Neodiprion lecontei: one gene and its partner. The protein of the gene in region 1 interacts with the protein of each later gene in a pairwise test. Links are inferred from orthologs where the notes say so. Each region holds a gene or a part of one and is shown on either strand. Other genes may lie near its edges.

Region 1 (8,192 bases):
TATGCAGCATTTAATATGCTGTTCATTGAATAGGTCTTTCTTCACTTTGGTTATAGTTGATTATACATATATTAGCAGTTGGACAGTGAAATTCCATAACAAACTAATTGACTTGTCGTGGGTTTTTGCCATAACACTAACCGTACTAGACCCAGTTAAATGATTGGTTTCATACTACGGTATGAATGGAGTTATGTAAAATGCCGGTATTAATTGTCGTTACCTTCTGACGAAATTCCGTGATCAAAACATAAAGATTCAAGCGTTATATACGGATGTATTACTTCATATCAACAGTGAAGTAGCTACAAAATTCCGATGACTTCGTGTATCATAAATTGAGCGAAGAAAGAACCATTAAACATAACTATAACGTATCAGGATTCTACTCATCAGGAAACTATTAATATCATTTAGGGCCAAAGAATCACCCCTGGAAGTTTGAATCGAAATCAATGATCCAGAGGCCTGCAGATAATCTTCGTGTGAGTAATACGTGGGATTATTCAAGAACTGTCTACCTTCACAATAACATTATACCGATCCAGAGCAATGGCAGTCATAGTCCAGATAGATGCGCATCCACACAGTGATCCAACCATTGCGTAAATGTCGCACATCAGAGTTCCTGGAAGGATTGGAATCTTCAGGACTAACTTCTTTGTTGAAAATGCTTCACTTACCAAGCACCCAAGTTTCGTAATAACAGTTAATAACCATTGGTGGGGACATTATGATCATCATGAGGAAGTCCGAAAAGGCTAGATTAACGACGAGTAGATTGCTTGGAGTCCTTAACGAGGGTGTCAGCATGAACACGTACACCACGACGCCATTACCGCTCCAACCCAATACCCCCAGGACGATCATCACAAGACCAAGTATTTTGTGCCACAACGGATCCATGGGAGGAAATTGGTACCTATAAAAGTGTATCTGTATTTTTGCTTTGTAGTTTGTACTTTTCAAATTTAGGTATAAAATTTCCGTGTTACATTTCAAATATATAACTCAATTTCATCACGGACTATAAATTAATTGATTCTGTGTGACAATTTTTTTTCATTATGGAGTTTGCTAGTCCAGCAGAAGGTTTTCAGTGATTACTGCTCCATCATTCCCCGACCAAGATTTGAATCTTGAGTGTAAAGACAAAAAAGATTTGGCACAAATTTCGACTGTTGCTAGGGGGTTTGTGTGGGAATTTCATTTATGCTTACGCAGCCTGCATAGTATTTACCAATGTGGATCAATTAGATGAAGCATTTCAGGTGGGACTTTGTCGGCAACCGTTTGATTATTGAACCGCATCCATTGTCGGGCAACCTGTGGACCCATGGTGGATATGACCTCAAAAGCTGCTCTCCCAGCTGTGAACTCTGATACGTTTCGAACATTATCCAACGACATGGGATTGAAAATATTCTGCGAATCAGAGGATATTGCTGCTTCCATCTGAGGGCAGACACACATCTACGGATCAATTGTCGCACAGCGTTTATTGTTAATTATGTTTTCATTAAGCAGATAATTTTAATTCACCCACACAGAAACACCCACACATACGCAAAAGTCAGTATATAATAATTTTTTTCATTTTCCCGTAAGCACTTACTTTCGATGTTATTGCGTCTGCAGAGTTCGTTTAATGACAATACAACAGGAAATATTTTTCCTCTGGTAGTTGGACGGTGACTGCGGTATAACGTAGAACATTGGTGCATCAAATATTCGCCATTACTGCAGCGGCTGTGTAAATCTGATCTTCTATATATATTGAGAGTAAGAAGACCTTCCTTGATCAATTATTCAAATATATTCATCTATACTTCAACTGGAGACTCGTATATGTATGGCAATTTATTGTACAAGCGAACACAAAGGTAATACTTTAGGTAGTTTCAACTGGCTTCTTGAGACAGCTAGTTGAACAATAAATTAACTGATAATGACAGCTGTCATATTTCAAATAGGTATTGTACATTTTAAATTGAATTAGCTTTACCACATATGAGTGTATGGATTCAAGGGCATGATTACTTTGAATTACTTTCTCAATTTTTTACCAGCAGAGTTTTACCGTCGTAGGACCAAAAAAATTTGAGACGAGAGCATTTATCTAGTAAATAACGTCACTCAATTAAACCGCAAAAATGATGTTTTTGTGAGATATAAGAGAGTTTTGCGATTCAACGTATTATTTGTTCAATATTTTATATGAAATTTAATGCAGTGTTTTTATTAAAACGTACTTAATGAAATAACATTGAATTCAAATACAAGTGCAGAAGAAATTGGTAAAACGGGCTCTCTACGTGTAACGATTAGTGCGAAATACATTACAAATTACATTGGCGTTTCATGATTACAAAAAGATAAAATACAAATTATATATGTGTATGTAGAGCGGAATGTTTAGAGGGATGGCGGGTGTGCTGGACTGAATGGGTGCGAACCATGGTGCGAACGATCGGCAGATGAGTTCGAACGACTGATTCCAAAGATGTGAGAACGGTGATAATGTGTGAGCGAGCGGGTGAAAGAAAAGAGAATGGAAGAAGGAGGCAGTCGGGAAAAGCAGTCTAGTGTGTGTGAGCATCAAGGTGTGTGAAATGTAAATCATTGAGAACCTTTCGAATGTTTATTTGTACTATGTAAATAGATAAATGAACAAATCGAATGTAAGAAAGGGAACTGGGTTTGTTGAGCATTGGGCATAAGGTGGTCGTTATTGCGATGTCGAACAGGAATAAACTATCAATTACAATTGTGAAAATTACCTAATATCTCTATTCGATCTCGTATTACAATTTGTTAGTATAACTTTCGTTAAAGTCTTAATCACCGTATTTTGAATAAAAAATTTCTCGTTGCGGGTATCTACAAAAATATACGGGCGTGTACAAAGTATATGTATGTGTGTACCACATACTCATATACTAAAATATTTTGTATTTTACTTTGTTCTCATTAGAAAATGAAAACGTAATTTGTATTTCATTGTTGCCTCAATCACAAATTGCAATTGCAATCGTTGAGTAATTACGATTTTGTTCATTAGCGACTGCCCCACTTTGTGCCGATTACCTCTATAATTAATAATCGAACACCAGGGACTATTCACTAATTCCCCCCCAAAAAGATTAAAGACATGGTTTGATATTTTGTTCAATTTATTGTTTGTACAAAATTCTCGAGATTTATATGCTTCGTAATTATTCCGTAACAATATAACAGGTATCGCAAGTAGTCCCTCTAAAAATATCATTTTTACAATTGAATTATATAAGGCACAATTGATGATTAGAATATTACAAATTAGAACTTACAAATTAAACTAAAGCTTCGCTAAGAAGTTGAACAGTTAAAAGACAGGTTTTGGATTTTCTGAAGCTGGAATATTTAGGTTTCACTTATAGTTTTGTGAGATGGATATAGGAGCCTAAAGTATTTCAAGCTTTCAACCATTTCTGTTCATTTTTAATCATTGTTTACGGACTGTATCAATGTATTGGCATAATTGTTCAAAACATAAGTACTTAGGACTGTATTTTCATGATACAGCCGAGGTAATGGAAATATTCGAATACAAATGAACAAATACATTGAATTAATAAAATGCATCTATTTAATCTAATTGGAAGAACACAACGTTACTTCAACAACTAAAAAAATACAACGATTTTAATATATCGTATATCTTTATGGTCAACTGTATTGTGAATCTGATACCATATTACTATATAGCAGAAACAACCTAGCAGAAACTATTATTGGAAAATCTATTTTCAAATAACAAACACTGTGATTACTTGAAAATTATAGAAACCGTGATTTTTATTCACCTTAAGGATGATACGAAATTTTACCCTAACAAAATAGTCGATGGTTAAACTTCTGAAGTTTTAACTCATACTGTAGTGACTTTGTTCTACTTTATTCTACGGAGACATTGAATTCACAAAACCTATGTTCAAAACATTAATTGTGCTGTTGAAATTATTATTTGATAATTTTTGTTTTCGGTATTGTTATAACTAGATTATCGATCATTTTCAACTTGAAGTCAAACAAGATGTGTTACGTGACATCTATATCAATTGAACTGCTCCTTCTTTCACTAAGCTTGCGATTGGCTGGTATTGAATAAGGCGCTGTGCACCAGCCGTCAAATCTATTTCATCATTTGTCGTTCCAGGCACGATGATTCCTTGCACAGGTTTGTTGACTCGCAAAAAGACATGGCTGTTCAAGTTGGGTTTAACAGTCAGTTTATCAACTTCGAATGCTTGAAAATTAGCAGGCATGTGTTGAAGCGCAACTGTTCTGAAAAGTGTTTCAATATTGGCTAAATATTCTTTAGCAAACTTGCGTTCGCCTGGAGTTAGGTAAGATTCTTCCGGACTCTTTTTGTCATCTTCTGACAGAATGTGTATGGTGTATTGTTCAATTTTTTCTAACCTCGTTCGCAGGTAACTCTTTATAACGAATCGTATTCTATCGATTTCCATCTTATGAATAGCTAGCCTGATGTCACCCTTTTTCAATTTTTTCATGTTCTCTTCCATGTGAGAAATTTGTTCGAGCATACAATCAACGAGTTCTGATTGATGAGGTAATATCTCTGGTGCAAATTTCTCGTTCAACCAAGCATTTTCAATGTCTTGCAATACTTTGCCGGGCGTGAATTCTTCATTGTCGCTAGAGTCCAAGTGCTCTGAAACATCCGCTACGCTATCGTCCATTGCAAGACAGAGTGACAACGGTTCTCGGGACCGAATGTGAATAATGCGTGGAATAATGTTTACAAAAACATGAACATGTCAAATCTTACTGAGACGAGATGTCACCAATTGACTATGCCATACACGACCGCAAACTATAGGAAGAGTAGATCCTCTTCTGCTTCGGGGCCATCTCCACGATGACTTTGGGAATGCGTTCCAATGCGTTCCGAAATCAATCTTCAGTGCCGTGATCAGCCATCTTTAATCTCTTTTTCACTAATTTGCCTCTACTTTACGAACACTTTCTAGTCCTCCTTACCTCTACCCGCCATATCTTTTGAGCTAATGACTAGTTCTGTCTGTACATCTCTGGGTATATTCCGCCAAGGAACTGTGGCAGTCCAGTAATATCATATTTTGAATTTTCTAACTCGCGGTTGGTGGTATTTACTGGTCATTTACTGCCAAAGCGTTCCACCAATTGACAATTATTGTTTGAAAATGTTATCTTCATAATAAACAATCAATACAGCATTAATAGCGTGCATGTATATTTCTATTCAAACCCTATTTACACCTTCAAATAATGTAACCTGCATAATCGAGAATTGCTCTAAAATTATTTTATGAGCCATCAACAATTTGTATTTCAAACATTTCTTTACATTCGCGCTGATGTATACGAATTTATATTTTAAATACAGTACGCAAAGGGATCAACAATGATCGCTGCCCGTAGTGGGAGATGTGTTTGCTATAAAAAATAAAATAGTTTTTATGAATATGTAAAAGGTTTCTTCCCAGCAAACTATAGTTCATTTTATGAGAATCATACAATTTTCACTACTATCAACACTGCTGTTTATAAACGAATATTTACCATTGTCAGAATAATGATTTTTTCAAATGAGAACGTGATGATTTTTCACAAATCGTGAACTATTTCATTTTTCTGAAAAAATGTTGGATTTCAAATCGATGGTGATATTTGTCATGGAAAACTTGTAGATTTGTACAAAGTAAAAAGTATAGTTGCCTCATCGATAGCTACACTTCTCCGAGAGAGGGATAAGTTTCCGCGAAACCAATCCAAAGTTTCCATTGAAAAATTAAGGTATTTCACAGTGTCGTATAGCAAGTAACGGAGACTGAGCTAATTTATTTATCATGATTCCAGATTCCTATATCTATATGATTCTTTATATATATACATATATTCTATTTCAATGGTGAACATCAGGTTTTTGAAAAATATACCTATAGCCAAAAAAATTATACACAAAATCATTATCGTAAACGTTCACTATATCTCTTTTACAACTCAGGTATCGAGAGAATCAGTCCGAAGGTCTATAGCACATCGCATAAAAACTTAACGATATGCAAGATTAAGGATCCGCTATTAGTCAATTACCTTAAAAGGATTTAAAATCAATTTGATCCACCGATCACTGAGAACCATTTCAGCGATATTTGAGTATATCAGCTTAGAATCACTTAGATGTAATTAAAGCGACAAAGATTCTACGAGCTGTCATGACGTTGTTGTAAACAGCCTGATAGCGATTAGGAGATACTGCATCTAGTCCATTTTAAAGATTATGAATCACTAGACTAGAGGCCTATACTGGTAACCGCCTCAAGTATGTACGGTTATCGTAATCTTTAGTCGATCAGTGTGTCAGGTATAACTGTAAAAAAATATAATTCCAGCGTATTTGAAAATACGTACTGTCAACATCGATTCATTTTAGTACTGACCGAAGGTGAATCCGGTTACAGAATATATGTGTCTTAATATTTAAGTGTAAAACAGTTGTTGCAGTGTGTCAGTATTCAGGTAGTCGATTTTTACGAGTTTCCCCGTGTCTTCGTCTATACATAAGAGATGTCGAAGTATGGCTACAACAGTTTGCCTACCGGGGAACCGGATCCTGACGATGAAATGCGAGTTGCGTTGCCTCCGTTAATGGTCACGTTGGCTGTACCGTCAACTCCAAACTATCCGATGTCTCCCTCGCCAATGGGGTCATCGGAAACGCTTCCAGAACATCAAAATGCCAAACGGAGAATGGATCGCCGTCTTATGCGTCTGAATACGGAACTCCTTCAAGCGGTTGTTGACGGAAATTTGGCGGAGGTTGAACGGTCCGGTATATGTTAATTTTGGTTCCGCTATTTCGAATTTATCTTGAAATTACGCAGCCTTCCTCGGCAAACGAAGAAAAAATAAAAAGTATTGAACCGGGTTTATTTTAATGCCGTTAGCTACTAATCCAAAATTTTCAAAAAGACGTATTGCGTTGTGCGAAAATCCATCCGAATTGATTGTTCTATTGTTTGAATATGTGTCTACAGCTGCAGGTTCTTCATACTTTCTTATGTTTGAATTGTACCGCAATTTCAATTTGATCCAATGTGTAACGCACAGTTTCGTTTCTATCCATAATTCCTATTCGATTCATTTGAAAAAAATTGAAATTAATCTGGAACAAAGTCAATACGCCTCAAACAATTCAATTTCTATTCAGTTGTTTCTGTTCGAATCCTATAACGATTTGAATTCGTGTAAATCTGTCAATGGTGAGTGGGTACCTTTTCGCCTCAGAGTATTTTCCACAGAAACGTATAACCCACGATTTTATTCGATACAGCATTATTCGACACGTACTTATAGTACGCGAGTATTATACTAAACAGAGTTATTTTACTCGGGTGTTATTTAACAGTAATTCTTGTACTGAGCCGTCCTAGTAGATGTGATCGCATGGACGTATTTCAAAACGTTCTAGTTGTACCTTGGAATATAATTTTCTAAACACTTCGAATTACACTCAATATTATAATTAATTGATTTTAAACATTTTAATAATTCCTATCAATCCCTTGTAATCGCTAGCCACTTATCCCTATAGGAAGATTCAGCTAGACATCCAAACAGTAATTTTGGGACCAAAAAAACAGATTCAGCCGGTTTCAAATTTTCTATTCTTTTCTATTATTTAAAATTTTTTCCAATTGCTGGGCTGTTTATTCGGTTCAGTGATCACACTGTAATGGAGGGGATCATCATTAATACTCGAAATACTTTGCACGTAAACTTCCCATGTTGATACACATTTATCGCTGTCAGTAAATTATCTCGATGATTGATCATCTCTTTGGTTTTGTTTGTGACCCAATTCTCATAAATCGGGTAGAATGTATGCAACTCTCTTTCTTTTTTCTATCTTTTGCATTGTGCATTTTCTGATGTAACTTAAAATTCATAATTTTTAGTGGTCTCCAGCATGATGCCAGTGCAAACGCGACATGCAAGCCACATCGGATTTCGAGTTGTCACATAGCGAGCTTTTTAGGACATACCGATATTTTGCGAACTCTGCTCAAGAATGGTGCTCAACTAGAAGGAACGCGTGACGCAATGGGACGAACACCTTTGCATCTCGCCGCTTGGGAAGGCAA
Region 2 (8,333 bases), on another chromosome or scaffold:
AATCGAGGAGCAGAGCCACCAGATCTGAACAAAATTTGAAACAAACAAATCTCGCCCCTGCCAAATCATCCACAGGACAAAAGGCTTCAAGTTCTCGCAGTGCTCCAGTTATGTCTGAAAATTGCAAACGCAGTCAAACTACCGAAGTTCATGCCAATCCACCGCCATCGAGAAGCTCCATTCAATCAAGACCAAAATCATGTGAGGAGCGAATTATTTCACCTCGATCAAAAAGTTAAATTGCATTGGTAGAATTTTGGATAATTCTTATTTCGCTGTATCTTGATCATAATTTAGATTTTTTTTTTATCCAGTTATAAGGCCCTGGAGACTTCAGCCAGAGTCCCATAGATCCTGCACGAATACAAAGTCTGATCCAGTCGCGCTGTATCAAAAGTACAAAGAAGAATGGAAGCAGCTTGCTCTGCCTGGAGAGGAGAATCATGCTGGAGTCAGGTGGGCGGTAAGGGAAAAAATGCTTGGACTGGATCCAAATCCACGGGTAAGTAACTCCTAATTTGTTTGCCCTTACTCCTTTTTTCTAAGTCTTTTTTAGTACAGAATCATGAGTGAATTGAGGTAAAATATCCATGGTGTTCATTTAATATTTCTGCATTACTTGGATTTCAGCAAAATAACATGATGTGCAAAATAAGTGCAAATTTTAGAGATAATTGGTACGATTCTCTGAATATTTTGGATTGTAAGGAACGTAAGATATACCGAAGAAAGGAAAGAAAAATTAAGAAACAATTTTTAAACGATTGTGTCAGGCATAATGCAAATCTGAGTTCTGACTTGGATAGAAGACAGAATTCTTTGAAAAGTGTTTCTGAATCAGTTTTAGCACGCTCAACAAATTTCAAATTGCCATGTAATTTCAATACTACTCATAGCTCGCAATCAATTCTCACTTTACCCGATGCCTTTAAAAGACATCGACTACATGGTATAAAAATTGAAGAAAAATACAGAACTGAATCTTTGTCATGTCGCGTATTCTGCAGTGATAAATCCAATTCTAAATTTAAGGAAGTTTATTCACAAGAGACCAGTGCAAAGCAAACACTTAGAAGGCTCATTGGCAACATCTTAGGAAAAGATATAAACCTATACGCTGAGAATTATAAGTATATGAAGAAATGCTGCTGTGTTTCCCAACCCAGATTTTCACAATCATAATTTCGTCTTAAAAATAAACGAAACATTTTTTCGAACCTTGTACAAGATTTGTAATGCGTGTACACGGAATTTGTGTAATAAAACATTTTGCAATTTCGTAACAATCGTGTAATGAAAATTATCGTTTTTTTTCAGCCGATATTGAAAAAAAGCTGCAGCACGTCGGCAATAAAAAAGAGATGATTAATTACCATGATTCTTTGTTATAATTAAACGCGTTAATCATTATTAATAATTATATGAATTTGGACATAAACACACTCGTTATTGTAAAAATGATGATATCGTGTATTATACTAAATAATTATTCAACTATATTGCAACGATTTTATTAAACTGATGAATATGTGATGCCTGTCGAAAGAACGAAATCCTTAACGGAAAGAATGTCATTATTTTGGAAAAGATATTTTAATCAATTTATAAATATGTAAAACGTAGATGTAAGTTTAGCCTTAAACAAAGTGATGATTAATTCAGAATTGTGATTGTAACCACGCAGATCTATTTAGTAAAAAAAAAAGGCTACAAAATAAAAATGAACAGTGTCATGTAATTTTTCTCAGACAACAACTGCCTCCTTTATTCTCTAAGAAATAATTTTATACACAATTTAAACACTAATTATTTTTAAATAGCCTCACTGTTGATTGAGTCGGAACTTCTTTGTCACCTCCCGATCATTCATTCTGTTCAACTGCAGGAGTATTTTGCTTTCTATCTCTCGAGCAGCATTTTCTGTGAGAACTAACGTGTCGTGCTTCAGCATACTGTAAACGTTCAAGCCTGGAAAAGAAGAAATAACAGAAGACCGAACTTTTGTGCACATAATATGGATATCTGTAAGCGATGTCTCGCGCTTCAAAGGGACATGGATTAAACTATCTAAAGGAAATTTTTACCATAGACTGGCATGAGATTAAAATGCTTGATCTCATCAGTCGCCAGGGTGATGTTCTTCGGCATAATGTCTGGTACGTCCACGAATAATACGGACGGTCCCCAATTTCTTTGGTAAACCAGATCCTCAATGTACCCAGGCTCTGTCGTTGGAATTTCTAAATCATTCACAATGTGCAGATCGTCCTGGCCGAACTTTACTGTCAATGCCGAAGTGAGGCCTAAGACTCTGGTGTAGAAGGGGAGCATGTAAAAATGCGTTGTTGGTGACCGTGGGCCATGGGCAACGCCGCCACCACGCCATAAGGGGGAACGTATACTCCCGTGTCGAGCGCGACCCAAGCCTTTTTGTTGCCAGGGCTTTCGTCCGCCTCCCCTTACCTCAGCTCTCGTCTTCGTGTGAGCGTAACACTAAAATCCGAGTAAAAAAAATTTAATTCATATTCAAAGGGTAGCGTGAATATAAGAAAAGACATTGCTTTGAAAGCAGTAATTCAACTTACGACAAATTTGTACATCCTCTGCCATCTCACGTTTTGGTGTAAAATATCAATGCGAGGATGAGCCCCGAACACTTCTGGATGCAGCATCATCAGACCGAGCTTCTTTTCCTCAATCGTGTCCAAATTTTCTAGCCATACTTGCTTCGGCTTTTCGTAAAATCGCCCCTGCTGTATCGCCTCGCTTATCGAAATAATTGGCTCCGTTTCTATTGCATCGTTGTTTTCAGTCACCAGAGAACTGAACCTCGCGATTCGACCCACCGAACATCCCTCAAGTTTTGTTAAAATGCTTCGTAAGAGGAACGACATTTTTGGTACTTTAACCTAACCTAACCTCATTCACCAAACACGAAACGTAACCTCAAATTATCGAAAAATAGCCTAACATAACGTAACTTTAAACGGTCTAAACAGATGTTTCTGGGTGAGATCGTGCTGTCTGTAACATGCAAAATACAGAAATCGACAAAGTGTTGCCAAATTCACTTTCCACAAACGAGAAATATAAAAACGGAAATGATAATCCGCCGGTCGAAGGATACTGAACGCAAACTTCACCCAACTTTGAGCACTTGCACGCCAAAAACCGATCACAAAAATTCACCCAGGGATATCCGTCTTTATATTCTTCAGTCAACGGTATAGTACAGTATAGGCTGCATGTCTTTTACGTTAATTTTCTGGGACAATTCAACACTAAATGTAATTTCATTGGCCTGATCTAACAGAATAGGCCAACGAAACCACTTAATATCGTACAACTCAGAAAATTGACGCAAAAGCAAACTGACTGTACCGGCTGATGTGACGTACAGGTTGTAAACAAATGACTGCGTACGCGTAGGAAATAGAAAATTGCATTTTATTAATGAACAATTATTCGCTTGTACTATGTTCGGAGAAAAAGCATTGGAGCTCATAAAGGAACTCGAACGTTCCGCTGAGGGCATCCCGCCGTTTAACGTGAGTAACAGGTCTTGAGTTCCGTAAAAATCATGTAAACATTGGTTCAGGTTATGAAAATACGCGCTATACATTTGCTTGTATTCTAGGATGACGGTATCCGGCAGGTTTTAGAAGAAATGCGAATTCTTTGTCAAGCTAATTTCGATGATATGTTGGTATTTGTTTTATTTACTTCGCCGATAATATACGTCATTTCTGTTATTATTAATCATTTTTATTACCGTCATGGTCAGGATGTTCAATCATGAGAAATTTTCACAGCAACTTAATAGTGTTCCTGGAAATAACGTCAGGGTTTATTCAAAACTTAGTCATCGACTACAGAAAGATCGTCCTAATTTGGCATGAGTCGCTAAATCATAAATTAAATTCTACAAATTTTATCCATTATGAAAACCTTATTCCGAAGTGATTACTACTGAAACTTTTGCTTAAAAAATCTGAAATTGGTTTGGAAATCATAATTAGTCTGAAAGTAAACTGAACACTTACTCAGCTGTGCAGTAATTCTTAATAGTTTGGAATGCCTGTACATTTATTAGCAGGAAAAACTACTAACCACTATTATTTGTCGCAGAGAAAATCCAACAACGGATCCACCAAACTATTCTTCCGTGCGAGTTCGTCACATGGCAATAAGCAGGAACAAGAGATGCATTTTGGCATATCTGTACAACAGGCTGCAGAAAATAAGGCAGATGCGGTGGGAATTTGGCAGTATTTTACCACCTGAAATAAAATCCTTGCTTTCCGAACCAGAAGTACAGTGGTTCACATCATACAGCAAAGCTTTAGCCACTTATATGAGATCCATTGGCGATAATTACGGGCTGAATTTAGCCACTGACGTTACACCTCCAAAGTCGCTTTACATTGAGGTAACAGAGTTTTGAATTTTAAATCCTTTGTGTACACAAAAGTAAATTGCGTAAACCTGTGTTGAATTGGAGATGGATAATCGATTAATTGGGGAGATAATTGATGATAACCGCTAAGTCTTTTCTGACATTCTGCAATTACGATGTTCTAGATAATCCTTGGGAGTTTTATTTATTCAAGGTTATCGTAGCATAGAACTTTCAGAGTCACAGTCATGACTTGCCAAATATTGTGCAAGACCATTGTTGGTTGTTTTCTCTTCCTATCGTCAAGGTGACTTTTGCGGAATTGCAGGTACGATGTTTAGTTGATTATGGAAAATTGGATCTGGAGGATGGGGAGGTGATATTCCTAAAGAAAAATAGCCAGTACTTATTGCCACGCGCTGAGTGTGAAGGTCTGGTGAGGCAAGGTGTATTGCAGCACGTGACTTCGTGAATTTCCGAATTGCCTCACATTCGCCAGAAACCTAAATTATACAATATTTCGCAAGAGTTTGATTTTATTTTTTATACTTATTCCAACGTGAATAAATCGCTTGGAGCTGTAATTTATAAAGTTTAAGTAAATGTTCTTTCATTCCGTATGATGATGGTTTATAAAAATCTTCTGTCTCCCGTGATAGCAAATTCATCCTTGTAAGTCTCCATATATATATATCTATAAGTACCAGAGGACTTATAGTAATAATACGATGACAAATATTCTCATGAGCTTTTAAAATTAAGTTTTTATATTTTGTACACTCATTATTTACATTGCATTATCCCGTCGAATTTTTTACCCGATTTTCAGTGCAACTAAGTACAGAATATTCTTAGGAAAACAATACACGAATATAAATTATTCATTACGCGTTTGTAATCTGTGTTGAAAGCGACAGATTTAATCTTGAACATTCGTTCACGAACCGGACAAATTGTAGTTGCCCAAAACGAATATTTACGATTCTCGTAGTTCCTATTTCTCGAACAGGCCTTGAAATAGGTTTCAATAAATCTTCAATTACGCTGCGCCTTATTTATCGCTGTGGCCATTACTCTGCTGTCAGAAGCTGCGCAAAGCGATTGTATATAAGAAGAAACAAAATCGAAATATATACCCGACCTTGAATTTTGAAACGTCTTGCGAGAGCCGTAAAATGCACTTTAGATCGACTCACAGACTGCGTCGAACTGCACGGATAAATCCGTATCCGATCGCATTTCGCACGGGAAAGGAAATTCGCTTGAAAAACTGTCAGGTATTAAAGTAAGTCATGCATATATACATATACAGAGTGAATTGCTAACAACCGAATAGTTTAGTGCGCATGCGCTGAAATTCGAGAGCACGAGCAATTGTTTTGTCAGGGTGACCAACATTTTTCAGGTTATATCGTGAGTTACATACATAAGGGTGATCTATCATCTAAATTTATAAATGTTGGTCGCCCTGACAAAACAACTGCTCTTGCTCTTGAATTTTAGCGCATGCGCATTAAAACGTCTAGTAGTTAGCAGTTCACTCTGTATGCAATACATTTTCCGATTACGATTCAATTATTCAAATTCTGTCAAAATTTTTTACCCTATATTCGTTACTCTTCGCCTAAATATCTCGATTCGCAGCTGTTCGATTTATGCAACCGATTCTCTTTCTCCGTCTAAAATACGTCGTAACTCGAGGAAATATACAGAAATTCGCTGGGCGACTGGATAGTGACAAAGGGAGAAAAGGAGGTAGGCAGGTAAGAAAGAGACTTTGACTGCAGCGCAGGCTCGAAAGTGCATCGACCAGGCTGCATTAAATTTGAAAAGGGCCCCTTCCGGCGGGGGTGCGAAAGACTGGAGGGTCCCCTCACCGGGGGTACGGTCTCTTGGTATTTCCCAGCCAACTGAAGCCACAGCAGGAATTTCCTACCCGGTAAATTCTTCCCACCGTTGTTCGAACGGTTCGTCGGCTTTAGAGTGATGCCGGGGCTACGTGGTCGCCCAATAGGTGCGTACATAGCGGGCACAAGGAAATGGCATATGTGCTGCAGACCAGTAAAGAATGGAGTCGAATAGCTCGGGGAAGGTCCAGTCGCTGTCGCATTCGTTGGCGAGACAGCAGGGAAGCGTTTCTTTCCGCAGCCTTCGTCGCTGACAATTCTCAGATTTCGCTGGTGCAGCGAATCTTTACGAATACGCCCGGTCCTGTAACATATCGTGAATAATTAAATCAATTTTACGGAAAAAAGTGACTCGATCCGATTTAATTTTTCAAACTACACCGTTTACCGATACACGTGTCTTTTCAAAACAACTTCCGCGTATAACCACGTGCAATATGGTTGTTGATAGTTGTGTGAAATGCCAGATTCAATTCTGAAATCTACAGGAGGACTCAAAATTCACAGTGTTTCAGTTGGTGAGAATCTTTCTGTCTATGATTGTACTTTTTTATTACAATGTATTATATGTATGTGTATGAGGGTACGTCAGTTGGTTTACATTTCAATTCTGTGAAATTAATATGCTATGAAACATTTCATTGTTGCAGTGGTAACCGCAAAGATTACAAAAATTTTTATCATTCTTTTATCACATGGCTTTAAGATACGATAAACAAATATATTTGCTGGTTCTACTTCCTTAATTTCTCGTTGTCATAACGGCGACAATGAATAGATTTTTTTTCTGTTAATACGCGCTTATCTGTACTACTGTCCTTTTGTCTCAAAAAATAAAAGCAATTTGTCTATATGGAACAAGAATGAATGTATGCGTGTAAGTTTTGATCCAGAGTCATTATTTTAAGCTGTATGTAGGTATCAGTTAGTGTAGCTCGTTTAAAAAATTTTTTTCAAGGTGCTACTCAAAACCTTTATAATAAATATTGAAAAAAAACTGTCGCAAAATCTGGAGGAGGTTTAGAGTTTAGGTTTAGAGTTCAAAGCAACTGCAAAATGGGATCTTATGATTTGGGGACTCGCCAAGTGTGATAAGATCATCGATATAATACATATTTTACGATTTTCTAAATCTTGAAAGATATTTTTCAACACGCCATTTTATTACCTCTCTGAACTCTGCTGTAGCTTATGACTTGTATAATGACTGTAAAAAACATAGAAATAAACGATGAGAGATAATTTCAAATGGAAAACCAGCAATGGTTATTTACCGCACGGGGACTTTAAACTAATCTGCCAATTGTAAAAAATTTCGCAGACTTTATCGAGAAGACATTAAAGATAAATCAAAACAATTAATATCATAATATAACGCGCGAAGTTATTCGATTTTTTTCTGAGCGAAGTGGTAAACTTTGAGGAAAAAACTGCAGCTCTTTAAACGCTGTTGTTTGATTATTGTATTGCTTCACGAATAATAAAATTCGCGATAAAGCGTAAATATGTGCAGATCGAGGAATACGTTACGCGGAAAAACCCCGGGCTTATCAAATAATCCAAAAATTCCCCGACATCATAGAACATGCAGACCTTTCCAGTTCAATTGACATGCATGCTTAAGCTGTCAATTAGAATTTCGAATGTGAGCTGGGAAAAACGAGACGCGAACGTCGGTAATTTCACGATGAAACCATGCGGGGCATATGGCGCCATAAATTAAGCACTTGTTCTTAATTTTTGTGGGGCAGGAGGGGGGGGGGGGGGGGGGCAAAATTTGAGAGCAATTAAGTTCCTTGACCCCAATTGTGCTTATATTACTATCACTTATTGTACTTTAAATAATCAGACGAAACTTGTTTGTTACATGTAACGCTAATGTAAGACAGTAAATCAGAAAGTGCAATTTGGTTTGACTGATTCGGTGCTTATAACTTTGAGCGAGGTTACAGTTGTGATAAAATTTTTAACGACAGAACAATTTCGGCTGTCATTGACTCGTTGTTTCCGCCAATGATCAAGTCTCGAGT

The links.
Region 2: the proteins of DNA replication complex GINS protein SLD5 (region 1) and DNA replication complex GINS protein PSF1 interact in a two-hybrid assay, tested with the Drosophila melanogaster proteins (2 studies listed by BioGRID). The link is inferred for Neodiprion lecontei from reciprocal best matches to the Drosophila melanogaster genes Sld5 and Psf1.

Annotation. Positions count from the first base shown.
Region 1 is NC_060261.1:11,939,756-11,947,947, reverse strand, and holds DNA replication complex GINS protein SLD5, read right to left. Parts: upstream 4,892-8,192; 5' UTR 4,746-4,891; coding exon 4,092-4,745; 3' UTR 3,168-4,091; downstream 1-3,167. Other genes in the region: rhodopsin, read right to left, coding at 522-628, 684-922, 1,241-1,473; transient receptor potential channel pyrexia-like, read left to right, coding at 6,616-6,875, 8,007-8,192.
Region 2 is NC_060262.1:38,199,448-38,207,780, reverse strand, and holds DNA replication complex GINS protein PSF1, read left to right. Parts: upstream 1-3,251; 5' UTR 3,252-3,476; coding exon 3,477-3,548; intron 3,549-3,637; coding exon 3,638-3,702; intron 3,703-4,128; coding exon 4,129-4,429; intron 4,430-4,724; coding exon 4,725-4,868; 3' UTR 4,869-5,016; downstream 5,017-8,333. Other genes in the region: uncharacterized protein LOC107226463, read left to right, coding at 1-234, 315-502, 1,318-1,365; 39S ribosomal protein L4, mitochondrial, read right to left, coding at 1,823-1,968, 2,085-2,493, 2,586-2,894; NF-kappa-B inhibitor cactus, read left to right, coding at 6,764-6,821.